4 linked regions of the Drosophila melanogaster genome follow. The gene in region 3 interacts genetically with the main gene of each other region. Each region holds a gene or a part of one and is shown on either strand. Other genes may lie near its edges.

Region 1 (4,963 bases), on a different chromosome or scaffold from region 3:
TCCCCGGCCACTGCATCGTTCTTAAAAACCAGCGGCGAGCTCTGTTTTTAAGTTCATAATTGCTGACCAAATCCCGTCTGGAGAAGCTTGTAAATACACTTACTCTATAGGCAGTAGTAGTCACATTCCTGGCGTGCACCTCTCCAGCTGGACTTCCCAGTTCCAGGAAGTGACGTCTTCCGTCCCAATGATTGCATATATCCAGATCCCGGTAGCTACTGCTGGCGGGATACGCCTCTCCTGGCCAGCAGAGCAGGCAGATCACGTAGGCCAGCAGGTAGCCATAGCCCAATGCTTCGGCTAGCATCGATAGTTTCGTCCTTCTAACAGGATCCTGAGCCCCTTCCGCTTGAACCGTCTCGGTCTGGTGCCGCCAAGTGTTAGAACACAACTGTGGCCATTTCGCTGGCAAATCCAATAAACCCAGAGCCATCAGAAGCCGCACAAGTGGACCGGGCCTCGTAACGAGCCCACCCTCGACTGGGTTAAAGACCTCTCGAGTCCGGTATAAAAATACATTTATTTGAAATTTCTTTTCCGTTAGACGTTAAAGGGAAATCAGGGTTTTTTTTTGCGTCTCGCAGAGACAATGAAACAGTGGGAAACATGCATCGAGGACACGGATTTTTAGCCTAGGACATGCACATCTACAAAAACGAATGGAAATATTGTGAATATGGTGACGAGGACAAGGCATCGCTGAGTAGTTTTCTAGAGATGCGAGGCCTGCTGCTCGGACTGAGTGCCGGATAGTCATTTGGCAGCAACGGCATTCTTGGCCAGGGCACCCTCCAGGTTCTTGGCCAGCGTGTTAATGAACTCAAAAGTCTCCTGGTAGTCCCTGCGAGTAACGGCGTTGATGTTGCCTTTAATGCAGATGGCCAGATCCTTGGTCATGGCGCCGCTCTCAATTGTGTCGATGCACACCTGCTCAAGGGTGTCGGCGAACTGCTTCAGTGGCTCATTGTTGTCCAGCTTGGCACGATGCAGCAGGCCACGGGTCCAGGCGAATATCGAGGCAATGGGGTTGGTGGAGGTCTCCTTGCCCTGCTGGTAGAAGCGGAAGTGACGCGTCACCGTTCCGTGAGCGGCTTCAGCCTCCACGGTCTTGCCATCGGGGCATAGCAGCACGGAGGTCATCAGACCCAGAGATCCGTAGCCCTGGGCAACGGAGTCCGACTGCACATCACCGTCGTAGTTCTTGCAGGCCCACACGAAGCCACCCTCCGACTTCATGGCATAAGCAACCATATCGTCGATGAGACGGTGTTCATACCAGATGCCCGCCGCCTCGTACTCCTTCTTGTACTGCTTGTTGTACAGGTCCTCGAATATGTCCTTGAAGCGTCCATCGTACTTCTTCAGAATGGTGTTCTTGGTGCTCATGTACAGCGGCAGCTTGCGGTCCAGAGCATATTTGAAAGAGGCGTGGGCAAAGTCCACAATGGAATCGTCCGTGTTGAACATTCCCAGGGCAATACCGGGGCCCTTGAAGTCATTAATGACCTCATCGATCACCTGACCGTCGGTTCCCTTCCAGGTGAGGGTCAGCTTGCCGGGTCCGGGAACCACGTAGTCGACGGCCTTGTACTGATCGGCGTGGGCATGGCGACCGATCACAATAGGCTTCTGCCAGCCAGTCACCAGACGGGGCACGTTCTTGCAGATGATTGCCTCACGGAAGACGGTTCCTCCCAAGATGTTACGGATGGTACCGTTGGGCGACTTCCACATCTTCTTCAGGTTGAACTCCTCTACGCGCTTCTCGTCGGGAGTGATTGTGGCGCACTTGATGCCCACGTTGTACTTCTTGATGGCCTCAGCACAGTCAATGGTGACCTGGTCCTCGGTTTTATCGCGGTTCTCAATACCAAGATCGTAGGTATGCAGCTCAATGTCCAGGAAGGGCAGAATCAGTTGGCTCTTAATGGAGTCCCAAATGATGCGGGTCATCTCGTCACCGAGGACATCCACAACGGGACCGGCTTTGATCTTCTGGGCCATCTGTTCGGGAGAGCATACCACACTTGAGTGCTTGAAGGGCAGGATGGGAATCTTATTAGCTACATGAAAAATGGATTTGTGTCTGAATGCTGCGGTATTGGGGTATTCACCTCGCTCACGGCGGACATCCTTTCATTATCCATGGATATCTTATGGGTTTTGGGGTCCTAAGCACAGGCGATACAGGCGAAACTTATATGTATGACGATAATAAACTGACAACTGGTCAAAGCAAAGTAAACTTTGATCAGCCTGGGATAGGGTGGGTCGATATTGATGGATGGAAATTAAAATACACCGTGTTTCAAAAGTAATCCCTTATCTTTACTTTGTAATATTTAATATTTCGTCGTGACGACGTAATTATTAAGGTACTTGCCTAAAAGTTAATATCTCTACTTTGCATTCATAGGTTATAAATTTAAGAAAAAATTGTTCAATTTTTTTGTATAAACAGTAAATATAGTAATCCTATTTATCGGATGCTAGCAGCACAGGTGACTACGTGATTGTTTATAATCTTAATATTGAGACCGACTTCAAAAAATTCAAAATATCTTTTTCTCCTGCTCATCGACCCACCCTATTCCGAAATTTAGTAAGCAAAGAGATTTAGAGCGACAGAGGGCGAGGATACAAGGAGGACCTACCGCGGCGCTGATGGCGAAATTGGCCCGAAAAACGGCCTGGCTGAGATGCGGCTGCCGGTGGACCGACGTCATCATTGCGGCTGTGCGGCGCAGGGCGAACATTTTACAACCGGATTGGTGTGGATGTGGGTATTATTATTATGAATGAACCGACCGACGACTGGAAACGAGAGACGATAGTGTTTGTCACCAATGTGAAACAATACGAGACAATATGACACTGGAGTCCCGGGAAAGAGAACAATTTTCGGACAAAGCAAAATTAAATGCTGTGGGCGTCAGACGCGCTCTAACCGTAACTGATAACTGTAAAGTGCCGTTAAGCGCTACAGTTTCCGACTCTCTTGGGTGGCGTACAATCGTCAAATTGTTGCGCAATCGGCGTAATCACAACGTTCTAAATGCCCAGTCAGATAAGATTTAGAACCTCGGACTTTGATAAGCTGCTCTCACAACACTCGGCACACTTAAAAGCAAGTGTTTTAATTAATAATGTAACGAGAGTATAAAAAACAATAAGCACTCGGCGAACGCGTAAACATGTAATCGTTATCGCCGGCTGACTTGTCAATCGCTTTCGCATTGCGGGTGGCATTGTCCCTCTCTTCCGAATGACAACTGTTGCGTTTATCAGCTGGCGAAAAACTTTTCCACTATTGCGGGCTAGCCACTTTTATTTAAAGTTCACGGCCGACTTGTTTTGATAAGGAATACAAATTAGAAAAGCGCGTGGCATTAAGCTTATTTATTCAACTTCACCCGAATTCAAAATCAGCTGGTACGTGCGGTACTATCGATAACGATAGTCGAACTGACATGTTAAAGCTTAGATAATATTTGAACTTGGGCGCCAATCTTTTTTTTTTTTTGTTGCGAAGGAGGCTCGCTCTGATTATCTTGAAACGTCTACCATTCTTATCTACTCAGTCAATGCCATTTACTTCCAAATTAAAATAGCAATTGCGTGATGTTTTTTTGGATTTTTCTTCTCATATTTAATAGATCCATTGTCTGACTTTAATATAAATATCTCTAAGTCTTTATAGGTACATGTGTACCTAATTAACATATTGAGGTGGCGCGATCGCCGAACACGCCATAAGCTGAGGCCACGCCCACAATTATATATAATAACAATATTTATGCTTTCACCAAACGAATTTCACAAGCGTTTTTTTTTCTAGTCCAACTGGGAGAATTCGAACATAGTACGATATTGATAAGACTTGCGATTGGTAAATAAGCTGGTAATGACGGGGCGAATAAATTATCTAGATCTAATCTGATATTTTCTCATCTGGTGTTTTTCTAGTCCCAGAAATATTTATTGTTGAAATAAAAAGATTGCATGATGACTTTTGACCCTTGAACTTTATGAAACTGTTAATACAAAATTCGCTAGAAATAAAAAAGAAAACCTAATAAAATTATGGTTTTAATTTTTCGACTGACAAGTTAATAAAAGAGTCCATCTATCCTTATCAAATATAAGTTTACGATAATCTAATTATAGTAATTAATTGTATTCAGATCTGACTTCTAGTTTGATAAATGAAAAAAATAAACGTCGACTGTTTAAGTTGTTTAAGCACTCAAAACATAGGACAAACTTAGAAAGTTAAAAACATTTCCAAATTGTGCATGCAAAAGTCCCAATGAGATACGAGCTATCTGGAGGTTTTCTCGAACCATCTATTTGTAGATATGCATAGTAATTGTATAGGTTTAATTAAAACTGTCGACACGAATTCAAGATTAAACTTTGGACAGCACCTGGAGAATCAGGTGGATGTGAAAAGGCCTGTCGAATGGGTTACGTGTCTCTCTCTCTCCACATATATCCCCCTCTTTCACACTGTCGTCTCTTCACACTTTTTTTATCCGTATCTCTCTTTTTCGAGGAGGCAAACCGGTGCAAAGAAAAAAACAAAACAGCGGCAGACAAATAAAATGCATATGAAAACAGACCGGTGGGGAAAGTTCGGGCCCAAATAGGTTGGGCCAGAGGTTATGCATAAAGTTAAAATGCGCAACTTATTTGCATTAAGGAGGCTTGAATTGCGGCAAATTTACGTATTGCAACCGATCTGGAAATCCACCATTTTTTATTTGCTCAGATAAATTGCAAGTCAGCCTTTGAGTGCAGTAAATAGCTGGGCGGAATGCGATCGGAAGTGTGGGTGTTTGGCGTGGAGTGTGAACCGGTTTATATAAGGCTAAACAAATGCTCCACTTACCTTTTAGAATATTTAAAATGCCGAATTTAGAATGTTAGAGCACAGACTAATTAAATTGCAGACCGAAAGATC
Region 2 (4,598 bases), 3.3 Mb from region 3:
CTGTTCTCCTCATCCTCCGTCTACGATTCGCTATTCCTTACCTTGTACAATGTGATATACACCTCGCTGCCCATTTTGTTCATAGCTATCTCCGAGAAGCCATACACCGAGGAGAAGTTGATGAGGTAACAGTGGGTTCAATCGTTTATATGTATAATGTTGATGTTACTAAAAATGCAACTTGAACAGAACGCCACAGCTTTACAAGAAGAACACGGACAACAAGCAGCTCCACTGGCCGTACTTCCTGATGTGGGTCCTATTTGCGATCTACCACAGTGTCATCATATTCTACTTCGCCTTCTGCTTCTTCTACTACAACAACGTTCTCCTGAACTACGGACAGACGGTGGCCTTCTCCTGCTTCGGCACCCTCCTCATGTGGACGGTGGTGGTGGTCGTGAACCTTAAGCTCTGGCTCGAGTCAATGTATCTGTCCTTTTGGTATATATTCACCATTATCATTTCCATTTTGGGCTTTGTAGTCACAACGGTTATCTACAACGTTATCAATCTGTGAGTTCATGGCTACGAATGTATCCATTTAAGGTTTAAACTAATATGTATATGTATTATTTGCAGGGACTACGACACCGACATCTACTGGGCCTACAACAATCTGTTGGCCTCACTGCCAGTCTGGCTGTGGATCATAGTGACCTGTGTGGCCTGCCTGGTACCCGACTATACCATCCGAATGCTCCAGAGGGCGCTCAACATAAAGAGTTTCAGCATTTTTCCCGGAAAACAACGGAAACTTAAGATGCGCGAGAAGTTTGAGTCCACATACTTGTAATCGTCGATTAGGCTATAGTTTTTATACCCCTAATTTATTTATTTCCTCATGTATACAATTTTTTTTTTTTTTGTTAGATAAACAAATTTTTGTTAAACGTTTGAACAATAGATTTGATTTCTGACCACCACCTTAGAGGTAGGAAAGTATCTCAACTTCCCAAATGGAGAACCTTGAAATCGTATGCTAACACTCGCAATCAACTGGGAAGTACGACATTTTAGGCTGATAACATTTTTATCATAATCTCGGCGACTTATTGAGAGCAAGTGCAACTACACTTGGAAAAATGGTTCGTTTACGAAAATGCTGGGTTTCAATACAGCTACACGATACAAACATCTAATTAATAAAGGATTTATTTAATATTTTTCCTACATCGGATATTGTTTAAAAATATATACGAAAGTATATAGCCCGTTTTTATCACAGTTTAGCCGTTGCCCCACTTTTGATACCATAAAGTAGGGCGGCGAGTCAGTAAATGTACTTCAATCCCGATCCACATATGTGTACGTAGGGCACCTGTTGGTTCGGCCATACCCACTGCCACGCCCACGATCACTGCCGCCCACCACATTGTTATCTAGTTGATGGCGTCGTTACCATTTGCATTGCCGAGGCAATGGACAAAGTTTTGATTGTGAAGCCCGTTTTTCATTGATAATGTTATCTCCACTCGCATTCCGAATATGTTTGTACAAGGGGAGCTAGAGATATGAACATTTTGCAGGTACATATGTGGCCATATAGTCGCTGGAAGATCTGGTGACGGTTACGATTTTAGTGGATTCTCGGTGGCTGTGTTTTCCTGGTCGTAGTTCGCCAAGTTAGTGGTCAATACGATTCGTTGGTTGCTCTCGCATTTCGAAATAGTGGTAATCGCACCAAATGGCAGTGCTATCAGTTCGAGGTTGTCGTATAGATTCCCATGGACGCCCTAATGCTAACACATGTGCAAAGCTATATCTAAACCATGTCTGTGTGCGCCGCGTATGACTATGCCCAAGGAAATTCTTAATCATTTTTGGCTGAGTTTAGTGTGCATAGGGCGGTGCTCGCAGCGCCAGAGAATTTGCTGATCCAAAGTTTCAATCGAATTTGCTTTCCTTTAATCAATATAATGTCACTGACCAAGTCGTCGTCGAGAAAGGATCTAACCGAGCAGAATCAGTATCAGAATCAGAATGAGAATCAGAATCAGCCCAAATCGACGACCATAGTCAAGTATGAGAAGTCGTCGTGCCTCTTCTGCAACGAATGGTTCGATGCCCAGACATTCACGGTTATAATCGTCCAACTTTTCAGTTCACCTTTGATTACTATTACATTACTCCTCTTTGGATGCGACTGCAGGAACACCTGATCCACTGCGGCCAGGTGCTGGAGGAGTGTCCCAACGGCTGTCAGGCCTTCATTCCACGCATCCGTATGCGATCCCATCTGAAGGAGTGTCCACGCAACCAGCACAATCTGAGCAATCAGCAACGCATGAGTGTCAGCATGGATCGCCTGGATAGGCAGTCGGATCAGCGTCTCCTGGTCATTGAACAGGACGTGGGCACCATTCGGTCCGTTCTCAACGAGGAGATACGACAGCGTTTGCATCTCATTACCGATGTGGGCAACATACGGAAGCAGAACCAGGTCGTCGAGGACTGGACCCGCGAAACCGAGAAGGCAATGGACGATCTGCGTCGCCAGATGGAGGAGGAAACCAATCGGAAGGCATTCGCCATCGAACAGAACCAGCTGGATGTCCAGTACTGCTGTGATATCACACAGGTTAGTTAATGCTACTTTATTTAAATATATATATACTATCTATCTTTAATGTGCATATCTCCGTCGAAGTCCTTGAAAGAGCAAGTGGAGTCCAGGCTGGATGAGGCCCAAAAGCTGGTCAATCAGCTCTCGGCGGACGTGACCTATCACCAGAATCAGCTAAACGACAATATCCTAAAGCTGGAGGAGCTGATCTTTGAGAACGAGCGGCTCAACAGGGAGAAGTTCTTTCAGATCGAGGAGTTTCTGCAGCAGATCAATGAGGACATCAAAACAAAGCTGGGCAACAGTGACTATGTGACGTCAAAGCAGGCCACATTGGACTATGAGGTGAAGAATGTGAAGAACATTGTGTGCGAAACGGAGGAACGTTGCGATAAATTGGATCGAGCACTTCACCAGACCATGCAGAATATATCGGATTTGGAGACCCAAATGGCCATGCAGCAGCGGATTGCCAGTGTCCAGAATATAAGGGGTACATATTGTTGGTTCAATATAGTAATTTAAATATATAATATCTGGTCGTACAGGACACTTGATTTGGCGCATCAAGGATTACTCGAAAAAACTGGAAGAGTCCAAGCAGTACGACACCATCCTCCATAGCGCCATGTTCTCCAATAAAGCCTTTGGCTATGCTCTACGGGTGAGTTGAGGTTGGATCTTGGTTGGATATGCCATTTATATATGTATACCCCATTACTAGCTGGATATATACTTGAATGGCAAGGGCACCTGGAAGGGCAGGAACATGATCGCCTGCTTGAACGTTCTATCCGGAGAGTACGATCCCCTTCTGGCCTGGCCATGCCGCCTTCAGGCCGAGATCATCATCCGGGATCAGTGCACGAATGTGGCAGATGCCGAGGATTATGTGAAGACCATCTTTGTGCGCAAGAAGAGCGATGATTTTATCCAAAGCAACCAGTACTTCCATATACCACACAAGGTAATCACCAGTCGCAACTATCTTCGCAACGATTCCATGTTCATCGAGGTTCGAGTTCTAAAATAAAACCCATGCAGCATCGCTATCCCACCCACCAGGAGCGATAAGAAAAAAAAAATCCAATTGCGGATTGTCACATACATAAAACATAATTTATTCCATTGAGAGCGAACTGGAAGTTAAAAACCCGCTTACAAACACGAGTATGTGTACATATATAGTGTATAAGTGCATACGAATCGATTCATCGTTTCAATATGCGTATATTGTAGTTTTAAATGTCATTGCAGTTTTAAATGCTTTTTTTCAAATTAGGCAATAGTCACATTGAGGCACTGTCGAGACGAAGTCGGTAGTTAGAAAGCATAGCTTTTATTGCAACATTTCCCTGGTCACTTTGTCAAGATATAAGCAACTCTTTCATTTTTTGGTTTTTCATTTCGAGCAAATTAACAAGCGATTTTTGAGAGGAACTTCCATATTATTTGTCTTTACGAACGCATTTAAATACAAAGGTCTTTTAATAAAATACAACTTCAACACTTGTCAACTGTCGGTTCCCATGTTCATTTCTTTGAAAGAGGTATCAAATGTCTGATCCCGTTCAGGTATTATTTGTGTGCACTTATAGTCTACGTTGTGGATCATAATTGTCTGGCTTCGTTGGCGTGTTCTTGTATGTTGTATGCATTTAAATGAACGAATACATAGAAGAGATAATACATATTCGAATAATTGATTTCACGTCGGATTTGGTTTGAATAATACATATATATGTATATGCGGAGATTCTTAAGAGGAGCGCTGTTCACCCACCAGGGCATAAAGGGCGTGCTTGTAGTGGCCCGAAGTATCGCCCTGCAAGTAGGATTTTATATGATTATAGAATATAGATATAGATAGATATATATATCTTACCTTGATCCAGCTCTTGAGGGACTTGCCGTACAGACGTTCGAACGCTACCTTAATGTCCGTCATATCAATCTGAAAAACGTTGCAACATTTTAGGGTTGAATGATATTATATATAGATGTACTTACCTCGCTGCGCGTGATGATCACA
Region 3 (7,241 bases):
TCCCGCCAATGTTCCGCCGGAGAAGTTCTACGGCACAGTGCGCAAAACCGTGACATTTGCGGAAGAGGAGCCCACGAGGTGGCCGGAGATAGAGCTGCAGGAGGTGCCCAGACCACAGCCCGTGCCCCAGGCCGATGCGTACGTAACCAATCAGTATGTGTCCATGAGCGCAATAGGCGCGCCCTGCGGCGATGGGTACATCAAGCCGCCACCCGTGCGCTGAAATCTCTCGGGAAGATTGCTGCCCGCTCTTGTTGTAGTTCGCCTGTAAATCTATATTCGAGAGGAGCCGCTAGTAACTAGCCCGGCTCAGCACCGAAGCCCACTGACCAGAAGCATACTCATTATTTAGTTAGTATTACAACCGTAGGGTTACGTTTGCCACCCATCTGCCATCCTATGAAGGATCTATTTATGTACATCGACACGCATGCGATCGGCATCACCACATACACATCGAACTAGCCGGGATTATGAGTTAGAAGATCGTTCTGCTCCAGCTAAACACTATTTTGTATATTTAATAAAAAAAAATCTTGTACAGACCGAATTACAAATAACCAAAGAATGCATATATGTATATATACATATATATGTATGTATGTACATGTACGTGCGGACAGAGAGGAGTATCCTGCGAACCCAGCCCGGGGATTGGTGTGCTCCAAACGCTCAGTGATTGGACGTGGCCGCCTTGCCGCCGTGCCACTTGTAGGAGCCGGAGTACTTGAAATTGTTCTCCTCGCACTTGCGGTCCGCCTCCTTGGGACCGCGCGATCCGTACTGGTAGGTGATTGGCCGAATGTGCTCCTTCTCGATCTGGTGCAGAATGGGCGTAAATATGCGCCACGCCTCGCGCAGCTCGTCCGAGCGGACGAAGTGCATCTGGGAGCCGCAGAAGACGTCGAGGATGAGACGCTCGTACGCGTCCGGCAGGTAGGAGTCCTTGTAGCGGTGCTCGTAGGTGAGGTCCAGCTCCGTCTCCTCGATGTCGAACGTGATGCCGGGGCTCTTGGTCATCATCTTAAAGTACAGGGCCTCGCCCGGCTGGACGCGGATGACCAGCTCGTTGCGCTTCGTATTGCCCTCGAAGATGTCGCCGGGCACGTCCTGGTACTGGATACGCACCTCCGCCTTGCGCTCGTTCAGCGCCTTGCCGCAGCGCAGGATGAAGGGCACTCCCTGCCAGCGCTCGTTGTTGATCTTGAGCACGCCGAGGGCGTAGGTGGGCGTGTTCGAATCGTTGCTAACGGTGGGGTCCTCCACGTAGCCCGTGCGCGCATCATCGTTTGTACCCTGCGGATTGCCCAGGTACTGGCCCAGCACCATGTCATCCAGCGTCAGGGCCTCGATGCTCTTCAGCACCTTGACCTTCTCGTCACGAATGTCGTCCGGGTGGCAGCTCACCGGCTTCTCCATGGCCACCAGCGAGAGGATCTGCAGCAGATGGTTCTGCATCACGTCGCGTATGATGCCGAACTCGTCGAAGTAGCCGCCACGACCCTGCGTGCCGAAGGGCTCCTTGAACGTGATCAGCACGGAGGCGATGTTCTCGCGGTTCCACGTCGAGCTGAGGATCTTGTTGCCGAAGCGTATGGTCATCAGGTTCTGCACCATCTCCTTGCCCAGGTAGTGATCGATGCGGTACAGCTGATCCTCCTGGAACAGACCGGCCAGATGGTCGCTCAGCGCCTGCGAGGAGGCGTCATCCCGGCCGAAAGGCTTCTCGATAATCACGCGGTTCCAACCGCTGCAAGCGAACGGGTTATAGGTGTACATAAGTATCGGGTTTCAAATTAAATGCATCTGGATCTTGATCTTGATCTTATACTCACCAGACCGACATGCAGATCTGCTTGATGTTGACAGTCACCTCCTCGAAGACGCTGGGCGGCAGGGCCAGATAGAAGATGCGGTTGGCCTTGTTCTTGTTCTCCATAATCTCCAGCTGCTGGTTAAGCAGCTCGAAGCCAGTGCGTCCGTCATATCTGCCGGACACGTACTCATTGAGGGCCCAGAACTCCTCGTACTTCTTCTGCTCGTGCGGCTGGACCTGTGTGGCAATGGGTTGGGTTAATGCGATGCAAATGGCCTATGACCAAATCCCGAACGCACCTTCATGTACGGCAGACACTGCTCCTTGATGCTATCGACGGTCAGCATGGAACGGGCATAGCCGCAGAACTTGGTCGGCTTGGGCAGCAGGTCATCGCGGTAGAGCCACCAGAGCGTGGGGTAGATCTTCTTCTTGGCCAGATCGCCCGACGCCCCAAAGATGACGAACGTGTGCGGAATCTTGCCGTCAAAGTGGGTTCCCTCGCAGACCATTGTAGGCGACTTGAGTGACTTGATTATGAGATCCAGGGCGGTGTGATCTGTGGGCACATATGAAAGGCGGATCTGGTTAGGCTTACTCTGGCTTTGAATTCCACTTAAGACTATTACTCTGTGGCTCTGTGGATATCCAGGAATTTCTACTTGTTTTTTTCACTAAGTAACTTTTTTCAACTGTCAAAACTTTATCAAAGGGAACTAAATGAACTAGAAATAGTTATAGCTTCCTTAAATGCATTGCTTTTACTGCTAAACTATAAAGTGAGAATGGTATAGGGGTTCTCTACTTCTTAGTTGTTAGTTGCACAGTGAGAAAAACAAAAAAAATGCTATCAGCTTTAGGATGTGCGGGAATTTTCAGTGACCTTGCCCTTTGGCTTGCATAGATCACCGGGGGACTCATCGACTCCGTATGGTTGGTGATTGGTTGGTCAGAATGAGCTGCGTGAGGACTCACCGAGGGCCTGGAGGCAACTGATGGTCTGGGCCCGAATGCAGACTATTTGAAGGCCTATTCAATGTCAAGGGAAGGGGGAGCGATAAGCACTCGATAAGACCGGGGTCCGTTGTCTAATCAACTCCGATCCGATCCGATCCGATTCGATTCGATTCGATTCGATTCGATCCCGATGACTGGCCAAAGAATCCGCCAGAGGTCAACCTCCGCAGCGGGCGCTAATTGATGCCCGGATAGCTGTGGGCTGGGCCAGGTGGAACTGGGTTAGGTGGCGGAAGCTTGGCCAGGTGTAAAAGGTGGAGCAGGTGCACGCGCGTATCTTCCGATGCGGTTGCACAAAACGAATAAATCGCCGCGCTGCGGTCGACTTTAACAAGGTGTAAGCGATGAACCCGGCAGCGACGTCGACGGCGAGGCGAACTTGGGCACAAAGTGCAAGCCAAGTGCTCCGGACGTATGTATGTACATACATCACTATTCACCGTATATCCAAACTTGGCTTCGGAACGGGCAGCATCAGTCGATCGCGTGGCGGGAATGCGATCGGTCGGATGATCAGATGAACCCACGATGGCATCACTTCCCGCACAGATCGGAAGAGATTACAGTGTTGTATGCTTAATGGATGATATATACTTGATCTGCTGCTATGTGATCTACTAGGGATACTGTTCTTGCAAACTAGTAACTAGCCTTTAGTAAACCTCTGTAGTATATCTCTAAAAATAACTACGAGTATGTAGATAGACTTTTTCAAAAGTTCAAAAATCTCAAAATCTTGAAAACCTAAAGCTCCCCGATTTTGAATGTGTGCACGTTCGTATCTTAGAGGTCATAGGAAAATCATTCGGAAAATGTTTCAAAAAGGTTGTGAGCCAATAATGGAGGCACTGTCGCGGTGTCATAACATAGATTTCGATATAATGAGCTTTTGGAAAATGAATGGAGGAGGGGCACTGCGTTCGTTTTTGAGAATCATTGTGTGTCGTTTAAAAAGGGTTGCGAGCCACTAATGCAGGCACTGTCACGGTGTCATAAAATATAGATTTCGATAATATGAGCTTCTGGAAACATCATGGGGCACTGCGTTCGTTTTTGAGAATCATTGTGAGTCGTTTAAATGTCGAAGTGGATGGGTCTCGGTGAATCACGTGATTCTACGGCGGGCTACCTGGGCTCTCCGAAGATATGAGTTGAGCTGGAATTTAACCCTAATTCCGAGGCCGATCTCTGCGAACGCCGGTAATGCATACTTTTCGGCTGTAGGAGCTTCGAAAGATTACACAGCCAGTGAGTTGGATGGTGCTGGTGGATGGATGGATGGTGACTAAGAGGCTAGCGAGCTCCTTCAAATGCCGAGATTGTGAGTCACAAGCCGACAGTGGTGTTTGCCTAGCAGGAACATAAATGACTTTAACCTTTTTTTTGAGTTTGCCATATGTCTTAATTTCCCGTTTGTTTTGCCTTGCTTGCTCAAGTCTTCGCATTTTTGCTTGACTCAGCTTGGTTTCACTTATCGAAGCTCGACTGTAATCTCGGCCGCATCGCATTTGACATTGACACAGACGAAGCGAAGGCATTGGGGCAAGGAGAATGGAGATTGGAGAATGGAGAGCAGCCGAATGTAGAGGGCGAGTGGAGAAGGGAGAAAGTAATAGGCGGTGAGCAAGGTAACGCGTTTGAATATTATTAACGCCAAGCGAGTTTGCATTTGTTGTCCGCTGTTGTTTTTGTTTTCTTTTTTTTTTTTTTGGTTTCTGTTTGGAAAGGCTTCTCGTGTAGAACGCAGGTGGGCAGCTAATTAACCGTGCGTAGAATGTACACATGCATGCGTTCCAATGTCATTGCCACAGAGTGGAGAACGGAGATTGGGGACTGGGGACTGGAGAGTTCGCGCTGCCGCCAAAGGTTATTGCTATTGCCGGGTTCTAATCTTGGAGCACGCAGCGAGTGTTTGTTTTAGCTGGCCGCTCGGATCCAAGCCCGTCCGATGGCCAAGAGCGGCGCCCACACGTCATCGCTCGGCTGGATGGGTAGTTGGGGGAGTGAGTAGTAGGCGTGGAGGAGTGAGAGTAAGAGTGACAGGTGGAGAGTGGCCAGTGGTAGTGGAGAGTGGAAGTATGAAAGTATGATAGAGAGCGGTGCGGGTGCGGGAGCGGAGCAGCGGTGTGGCCTCTCCTGTGATAAGAAGACAGTCGGCCGAGTCCGCGTCCTCTGCTTTTTGTAGGTGACCCCCAGTGCCAGGCGAAGAGCACATTTGAAGGGCGCACTGGCACGGGCACTGGCACTGGCACTGGCTCTCGCACTCGCAATCGGATTCCGATTGGAAAGCCAGTCCACCTGGCGCGACAGTGATCGCGGCAAGTACGCGCCCGAAAATCGAATTGGTAACAGTACGCGGTGTGGAATCCAATTCGATACCAATTGCCCAAAGCTGCGATACTCACCTTCCTTTTGCGTTGCCATCTTGACCCGAATGTGAATGGATTTTTCTGTTTAAAAGCAAAAGTGTGACAACTATGTATACGCAAGCCTTTCGATTCGGATTTCCAACTCGATATACGATTTCTCCAGTCGCTGGATTTTGAGCAACCTCTGCGGCTCTGGCTGTGTAATTACAAAGAGTTGCGGCGCTTTAATCGCACGCGCAGGTCGTCGTCGTCGGATTCACTAACTAGTAGCGCAAACGTAAAACAAAGCGAGTACGGGTACGGAGTCGCGAAGCCTCGGTGGAAGCGGTAGTAGTAATGAAGATAAGCACGATCGTTCCCTGACTGACTGAAGCGCGGCGCGAACCGCCGCAGCAAACAAACGCCCAAGCAAGCACTGCCAATGGCAACAACACCAACACACCAGCAACAACAGCTAAAGCAGCAGACGCTTTGTAACCCCGACTGCGCAGCTGATCGCAGACAGGAGCGGATTCAGTGCGCGCGGGGGCCCATTCGATCTGGATTTACATGTGAATGGAATTGATGGATAACACATAAATATACAAATAATACGATATCATAGTATAACATGGAAATAAAACTGTTTAATCTGAGAGCATTGATCTGATGCGTTGATGAGTTTAATGATGAAATTATGCTAGAATTATGATTCCCACATTACTAAACAACACCCTTACAATTTCTAATCCTACCTAGAATCACGTCGTATTTGGTCAGTGAAAACGAGCAAACGTCAACATTTCTTTTTAGAGTTTAAATCATTTATTATTATTCATTAGTCAGTAGGAATCGATCAGTTCCTTCTGAAGTTAACCTAATGTGTAGCTTAAAAGATATTATGGATTCTGTTCCTTAATTATAGTGTATACAAATGTACCGAGGAGAGATTATGCTATATTACGTGTAAGGAGTTCATGGGGATGTATTCTCTTCAGACATCGGAGGGAAATAGGGTCGACAAGATCATTCGCTAACGTGTTTAAGTGGGCGCTAAGTCTGTCGGCATATCGGCTGCTATGGAAGTTTATTTGGTACCCCAATGGGACACCTTTTAAGTCCCCTTCAATAACTCTATTGCTCACATACCACATGTAGCCCAGATGCATGTCGTGCCGCTCCCGATTGTCTTACTCTAATACTCTGTTCCCCACACTTGGATATGGCTTTTATTAAGAGAGCCTTAGTTGCCATATGGAGTTTGCTTGAGTGGAAAACCCAGTCCAGCTTTTTCAGTTTCCAGGAGCCGTGATAAGGGCTTTCCAACTCAGCGTCCGATCAAGGTGAACTCCGAGGTAGCAGTGGGATGAGACGTAATCAATGGTATTTCCGTCGAAGAGAAGACCTAGGCAGGTTTGAGGTCGCAGGGTAAATGTGACACAGGCCGTCAACAAGAAACCGGCATAAATTGGCGTGCACTTTTATTCCAATCCTTAGTGAACACAACTCCCCTGTTGTTTATTTTCTATTGCAAGCTAGCGCCCGTTGCGGGCCTTTGCCTTTGGTTTAAAACGCACAGCCCCAACCAAGGTCGGTCGGGTTTGCCCTGTCTGAACAATTGGTAAAACTGTGTAAAATTAAAAAACGCGGCCCCTGCCCGCGAGGGCCCAGACCGTTCCGCCCCTGTGTGGCTCTCTGGCGTGCATGCTCATTCACACAATCACGATGCGAGATTTCACTTTATGTGAATCGAATCCGAATCTGAGTCCGAATCGGACTCAAAGCCGGGCGAAGAGAGCGGCAGAGCGGCCGAACGGGAGAACGGGTCGGAGTCAGATGGTCGGCGCCTTCGCCAGCTGAGGGAAGCGAGAGCCTGTGATAAGACCCCCAGTCGACGGGCGAAATTACAAGGAATACGGACACGTACACATACTACTACAGGGGTTTTGGGGGGCAGCCGTGTGGAAATGGTCGTCATTGGTTGTGTGTTATATTCCAATTCATTAGCCAGTTGCTTGCATGTGTGGTGTTGATGTGGATTACGAATCAGGTGTTTGGAG
Region 4 (5,479 bases), about 15 Mb from region 3:
AGTACATAATTTAATTCAAAATGAAAAATATAACTTTTACGATATAGCTTTTTTCAATGGTATTTACTTATCCATTGACCTTCTTGTGATAATCAAAACACTTACGTTCTCCAGGGTCAAACAGCTACATTTGTGGCGCCCTATTATCCTGCAGAGCATATTTCTCTCGAGGATGGAGTGGGCTCCACTGCATCTCATCGCCACGCGGACACAACTGAACTTCATCATTGGCCCTTGCCCGAATACCAATTCCCAAACACCGGGGCACTAAAATGAGCTTGTAGCCAAATGGGCAATTGCCACGCACTAAAATTTTGAATATGATCGGAAATTGTTGAAAAATGGATTTGTACTCAACCGAAAAGAAATCGACAGTAAAATCATAAGCAAATCGACAGAGATGGCAACTGTCACTAAACAGAACGAGAAGGAAATATAACGATTTTGGGATTGCTTATGGAGCTGACAACTGCTCCTTTTCAAATACTACTTTGATTCGAACTGTAATTCTTCCACAAATCGAATTATCTATTAAATCTATTCCGTTTATTAATATCTTATAAATCTATCAAAATTCTATAGTGCAAGTATAGGTGAAACAGACTGAGATTTTCACATTTCAAAAGTACATACTTGATTCACTTTTGTTAAGAAAACTAATTTGGATTAATTTTTCTAGATTTTTATATTTTCAACAATTTACACCTCGCTTTATCCTTATTGAACACGTTCGCAATATAATATCCAATGCAGTACCCCAGAGTTATGTGGTGCGCTACGATGTGTGGTTGGAGTGCTCCGATTAGCTAAGCTTTTTGTGGGTCTCTTCGGATCCGTTCCGTTCTACGGGGTTCTCATCGTTCAACTTTCGGCTTATGATCTAGAGATTTCGCTTGTGTCCAAGTTTCTGAGTTATTGTGTCTTCTTGTCTGTCTGTCAGTGATTTGTGTTTGCTGTTCGGTTTTCTTGTTTCGTTTAAGGTTCTTGTGAGTTCCCGAATCAGATTCGTTGGCCCGATGACTTAGTGATTGACGCCCTTGCGCTCCTGGATGTGATCAATATCGTAGGCGATGGTGCCGCGCAGCTTGGGCTCCAGATTGTTGGAGTACACGTCCGTCCAGAGGTGGCTCACGCCCAGCTCGGCATCGGACTTGGCGAAGGCGGTGGCCTCGTCGACCTCCTTGCGTACCTTCAGATCGATGGCCTGGAAGATGTTTTTTTCTTTTAGCAATCATAACTCATAACAAAAATAAAACCCTATAAGCCAAACCCACCTTAACTTCATCGGTGGTAATCAGACCCAGCTCGATGCACAGCTCCTTGAAGGAGGTGATGGGATCACGCTTCTGGCGCACCTCCTGGATCTCCTCGCGTGTGCGGTACGATGTGCCCGGATCGGACATGGAGTGTCCAGAGTATCGGTACGTGTTCGTCTCCATCACCAAAGGTCCGTGAGTGTTCACATAGTTGATGGCGAACTCGGTGGCGCTGCGCACGGCCAGCACATCCATGCCGTCCACCCAGATTCCGGGCAGAGCGTCGCCGCGGGTATAGTAATCAGTGTTGCAGGAAGCACGCTCAGAACTGGTGCCCATTCCTAATGGGTATAATTATACAACATTTGGTTTAAGTAAATATCTTTTAGCATTGTTCCACTTTCTACAGCACTCACCGTAGTTGTTGTTCTCGCAGACAAAGATCACAGGCAGTTTCCACAGGTAGGCCATGTTGTAAGCCTCGAACACCTGTCCTTGATTGGCGGCACCATCACCGTAGAGGGCCAGGCACATGCCGCCATTGCCCTTGTACTTGCAGGCCAAGCCAACGCCGGCACCCAAAGGAACTTGAGCACCCACGATGCCATTGCCTCCGTAGAAGTTCGGTGCGTACATGTGCATGGAGCCACCCTTGCCGCGGGCACAGCCACCCTGGACACCGGTGAGCTCAGCCAGTACGCCGCTGGGTGAGACGCCCATCAGGTAGGTCCATCCGTGGACACGGTACGCCGAGATGATGTTGTCCACATCCCGCATCGCCGCCTTCATGCCAACGGCGCATGCCTCCTGGCCGGAATACAGATGACAGAAGCCGCGAATGATCTTCTCCTTGTACAGATTACCGGCGGCCGTCTCCAACCGACGGATCGTCTGCATCTGTGTGTAGTACTTGAGGGCCTGATCCTTGGTCAGCTTCACTTCCGTGGCGGGTCCTTCGTCCAGGCGGTGCAGCTTGAAGGGCTGCAAAGTTGGAAAGCATATTTAGAATTTAGATCCCTAAACTTCATTAATTTTAAAAACGTTTTCTACTTTTACATTAACAACTGACACACACATCTGATAAGAACGTAACGGAAACGTTTGGAACGCATGATAAGTAATAAAATGATAGCAGTTTGATTGGATAAACCAAATAACCATAGGCTTCAAGCTTCTCTAATCAAAGTATACTAATCTATAGAGAGCTATAACCACATATCGAGGATTTTCGGAAGTATGCTCCAAAAACCAAATTTGGATTTATGGCGGCTAATTTATGGCGTGAGAATCGACGTAAACAGAGAGCCAGACAGACAGACGGAGAGAAAGAGAGAGAGGGTGAAAATCGGCGGATCGTTGATAAGACTATATGTTATATGGTGCGTGAACAGTCACGCGTCGGCCACGCAAAAGGCAGACGGTGATAAAGAGCGTGGGAGACGGAAAACTACAAATTACTGCGTGACCTTGTCATTTGAAAATGAGCGGATTGACCGGCAAAATGCAACCCTGCACTTACACACACACACACACACACGCAAACCGTTTGCTATCTGGCGAAAATCGCATTATGTAACCGTATTTTTTCCCTTCCGACTTTTGAATTTTCCTGAGTTACAAGTACTTAATGCTATAATACGCACCCGATTCACTTGAACGGTGGCCTCCGTGGCATAATTGTTGGTTTTCGAAACACCTGCTTGGGCTGCATTCTGGAATAAACCGAAAAACGACGATGAATATCTCCCATTCCTGATGATATCGATGCTGCTGTTGTTGTTGTTGTTGCTAAGTATCCGACATCCGCTGATGATGATGTTGTTGTTGTTGTTGTTATGGCAACGCTTTTAGTGTTTTCATTATCGAATGGATTTGTTCAATTGCATTTTTAGTGACAACAATTAGAAATGTTAGTGGGTGCAAAGCGGGATTGGGATTACGTACTTTTTGCAGTTGCTTAACAATAATGGGCAATTCGCTAACGCGTGACAGAGTACGCAACATTTTCGCTGTGTTATTCTCGTTCGACTGACAGAAATTGGATGTGAATGGGGGCTTTCTATATGCGGATTGTCCGGATCTAGAATCGCACGCTATATATCTGGTGTCTCAGTCGCACCGCCGCGCGTCGTTGTAAGTTAAACAATCGGAAAAAAAGGTAGCGAGATTAGTTTATCAACTACTATATTGCACAACTATAACAACCGTTTGGCGTTATAGCGAAAAATAACGCACCACTTGGCCTATTAGTGTGACCCTAAATAAAATACTGCAGCTTTCCCTGTTTTCAAAAAATACTAAATTAGCTTATCGAACTTTCTTTTTCAATATAACTTGAAATATAAATGTTTACGTAAAATATTCAATAAGCTTTTATATAATGTGTCACACAATGTTATATCAAAATAATAGTAGTGTTTGGCGGTTATTGAAATACTCGAATAAATACTTACTCAATCACATTTTATATTACTTTGCCGCCCAAATAAAACGAGGGTTTTCAAAGAAGTACTTTTATTTCACATTGAAGATCTCATTTGGTTTTTGTTTGCTTTCTCATTTCTTACTCGTATTGTTACTTGAAATTGCCTCCATAAATCCACATTTGCGATTGCAGTTGCAATTGCAATACTGCTCTATATCGCACTCAGCTCACATAATTCACTAATCTCTTACAAAAACTTAAGTAATGTTTGTTCCTTGCACAAAAAACCAGTTAAATAGAAATAGGTAAAGTAGAATTAAACAGTTAAATTCAAATAAACGCTTTACAAACTAAGATTTTAAACTAGTTTTTGTATTTGTTGGTTTCTCGGTTTGTTGTTTCATTTTTTTTTTTTTGCTTTAGAAATGGCAGCTAAAAGATTTGAGTTTAAAAGTTACTAACGGAAAATGAGGAAATGGATCGATCGTTTGGGAAAAACTAAGCGAATGAAATAAATTTTTTACTTTCTTTTATCTATCTTTTGCTCTGTTACCGTTACACATATTCAATTTTTCGCGCGTTTTTCTGTTACATCAAAAATTGGTTTCTCACACAAATATTTTGCATTATGACAAAAAATTATGCTTTGCTTTGTTTTTTGTTTTGTTTCATATGTATACATGTACATGTATATATATATATATTTGTATGTATAAACACTTATTAGAAGTCCTGTTGTGTTTTTGTTTCCTTTCCCGTTAGAAATCCGGCATTCCGATTATAAGAAAAAAATTTAGTTTTTCTCTTCGTCTTCTTGTTTTTGCGAGTGCTTGTGTGTGTGTAAGTGGGGGAGGTGTGTGTGTGTGTGGGTGAGAGAGAGAGAGGAGGTTCTATCTTACCGTTAGCATAAATAGTTTTGTGTCTACGCAAAAACGTGCTGAGCAATAATCTAAAACGCAATAGCTAAAGAGAGAGAGGTGCTGTATGTGTGTGAAAAGTAACGGTAAATGTGTGTGATTTCTGCATATGTCTTCTGTTGTTTTCAGGAAATTACGTATTAAGCTTCTTATTTTTTTTGGTTGTTTTTAGTAGGTTTTACTTAGGTTCTTGCTTAATTTACACCAATGTTTACTTTATTTTGTATTTCTTGCATGAATATATATATTTACTTTTTGGTTTCCTTGTTTCTTATTACTGTTCGCTTTCATTCCTTGAAATTTGCCTTTAAATTGTTACTGTTCTTCTGTTTTATATAACATAAATCCGATTCGGAGAAACACATAGCACACACTTATATAAACGACAAGATGATAATTATTTATTTTGTCTTTGCTTTTGCTTTCGACTTTCTCCGCCTTTTTGTTTTATTACTGCTTGCACACCACCCTCATGACCTCCCTAACCTGGTTTTGACCTAGAAAGTCTTAGTTTTAAAATTCATTAGAATAATCAAATAAATAATAATTACTATGTTATATCAACTATTATAATTCTCCCTATCTTTTTTAGGATTAAAAATCTGTTAGTCTTAAGTAACCAAGACACATTGTAAAATAAAATAATTTAAGCAGATCAAATTAAGTTGCCGCATGGGTAACAGTGCGTTGATCAAATAATAAAAACATCATCGATAAAAAAAAAAAAAAAAAAAAAAAAAAAACTGCTTGCAGTTTCTACAAAAATTTTTGTTGCATACTTTGCTGCTGTGGATGGACAATACATATACACATACACATAATATTTGATTTGCGTGTAATTTGTTGCTGCTATGGTTTTATTGCAATGGTTTCATGTTCTT

What was found.
Region 1: of Zw (region 3) and Idh, changing one enhances a phenotype caused by changing the other (phenotypic enhancement), as found in Drosophila melanogaster (one study listed by BioGRID).
Region 2: of Zw (region 3) and Traf-like, changing one suppresses a phenotype caused by changing the other (phenotypic suppression), as found in Drosophila melanogaster (one study listed by BioGRID).
Region 4: of Zw (region 3) and Pdha, changing one suppresses a phenotype caused by changing the other (phenotypic suppression), as found in Drosophila melanogaster (one study listed by BioGRID).

The regions. Positions count from the first base shown.
Region 1 is NT_037436.4:8,355,902-8,360,864, forward strand, and holds Idh (isocitrate dehydrogenase), read right to left. Parts: upstream 3,040-4,963; 5' UTR 2,757-3,039; coding exon 2,655-2,756; intron 2,225-2,654; exon of another isoform or gene 2,172-2,224; coding exon 2,115-2,171; intron 2,035-2,114; coding exon 754-2,034; 3' UTR 503-753; downstream 1-502. Other genes in the region: Culd (CUB and LDLa domain), read right to left, coding at 1-41, 104-307.
Region 2 is NC_004354.4:16,413,505-16,418,102, forward strand, and holds Traf-like (TNF-receptor-associated factor-like), read left to right. Parts: upstream 1-1,541; 5' UTR 1,542-1,919; coding exon 1,920-2,081; coding exon of another isoform or gene 2,082-2,152; coding exon 2,153-2,581; intron 2,582-2,650; coding exon 2,651-3,059; intron 3,060-3,114; coding exon 3,115-3,230; intron 3,231-3,290; coding exon 3,291-3,599; 3' UTR 3,600-4,081; downstream 4,082-4,598. Other genes in the region: CG4301 (uncharacterized protein), read left to right, coding at 1-125, 190-516, 583-796; AnxB11 (annexin B11), read right to left, coding at 4,326-4,391, 4,452-4,520, 4,577-4,598.
Region 3 is NC_004354.4:19,665,618-19,672,858, reverse strand, and holds Zw (zwischenferment), read right to left. Parts: upstream 5,608-7,241; 5' UTR 5,258-5,607; coding exon 5,239-5,257; exon of another isoform or gene 5,113-5,238; intron 3,138-5,112; exon of another isoform or gene 2,792-3,137; intron 2,520-2,791; exon of another isoform or gene 2,446-2,519; intron 2,376-2,445; coding exon 2,116-2,375; intron 2,054-2,115; coding exon 1,836-2,053; intron 1,751-1,835; coding exon 673-1,750; 3' UTR 506-672; downstream 1-505. Other genes in the region: et (eye transformer), read left to right, coding at 1-223. UniProt on the Drosophila melanogaster protein: Cytosolic glucose-6-phosphate dehydrogenase that catalyzes the first and rate-limiting step of the oxidative branch within the pentose phosphate pathway/shunt, an alternative route to glycolysis for the dissimilation of carbohydrates and a major source of reducing power and metabolic intermediates for fatty acid and nucleic acid biosynthetic processes.
Region 4 is NC_004354.4:4,700,313-4,705,791, reverse strand, and holds Pdha (pyruvate dehydrogenase E1 alpha subunit), read right to left. Parts: upstream 3,468-5,479; 5' UTR 3,261-3,467; coding exon 3,201-3,260; exon of another isoform or gene 3,101-3,200; coding exon 2,900-3,100; intron 2,238-2,899; coding exon 1,673-2,237; intron 1,598-1,672; coding exon 1,275-1,597; intron 1,205-1,274; coding exon 1,022-1,204; 3' UTR 527-1,021; downstream 1-526. Other genes in the region: CG7024 (uncharacterized protein), read right to left, coding at 106-228.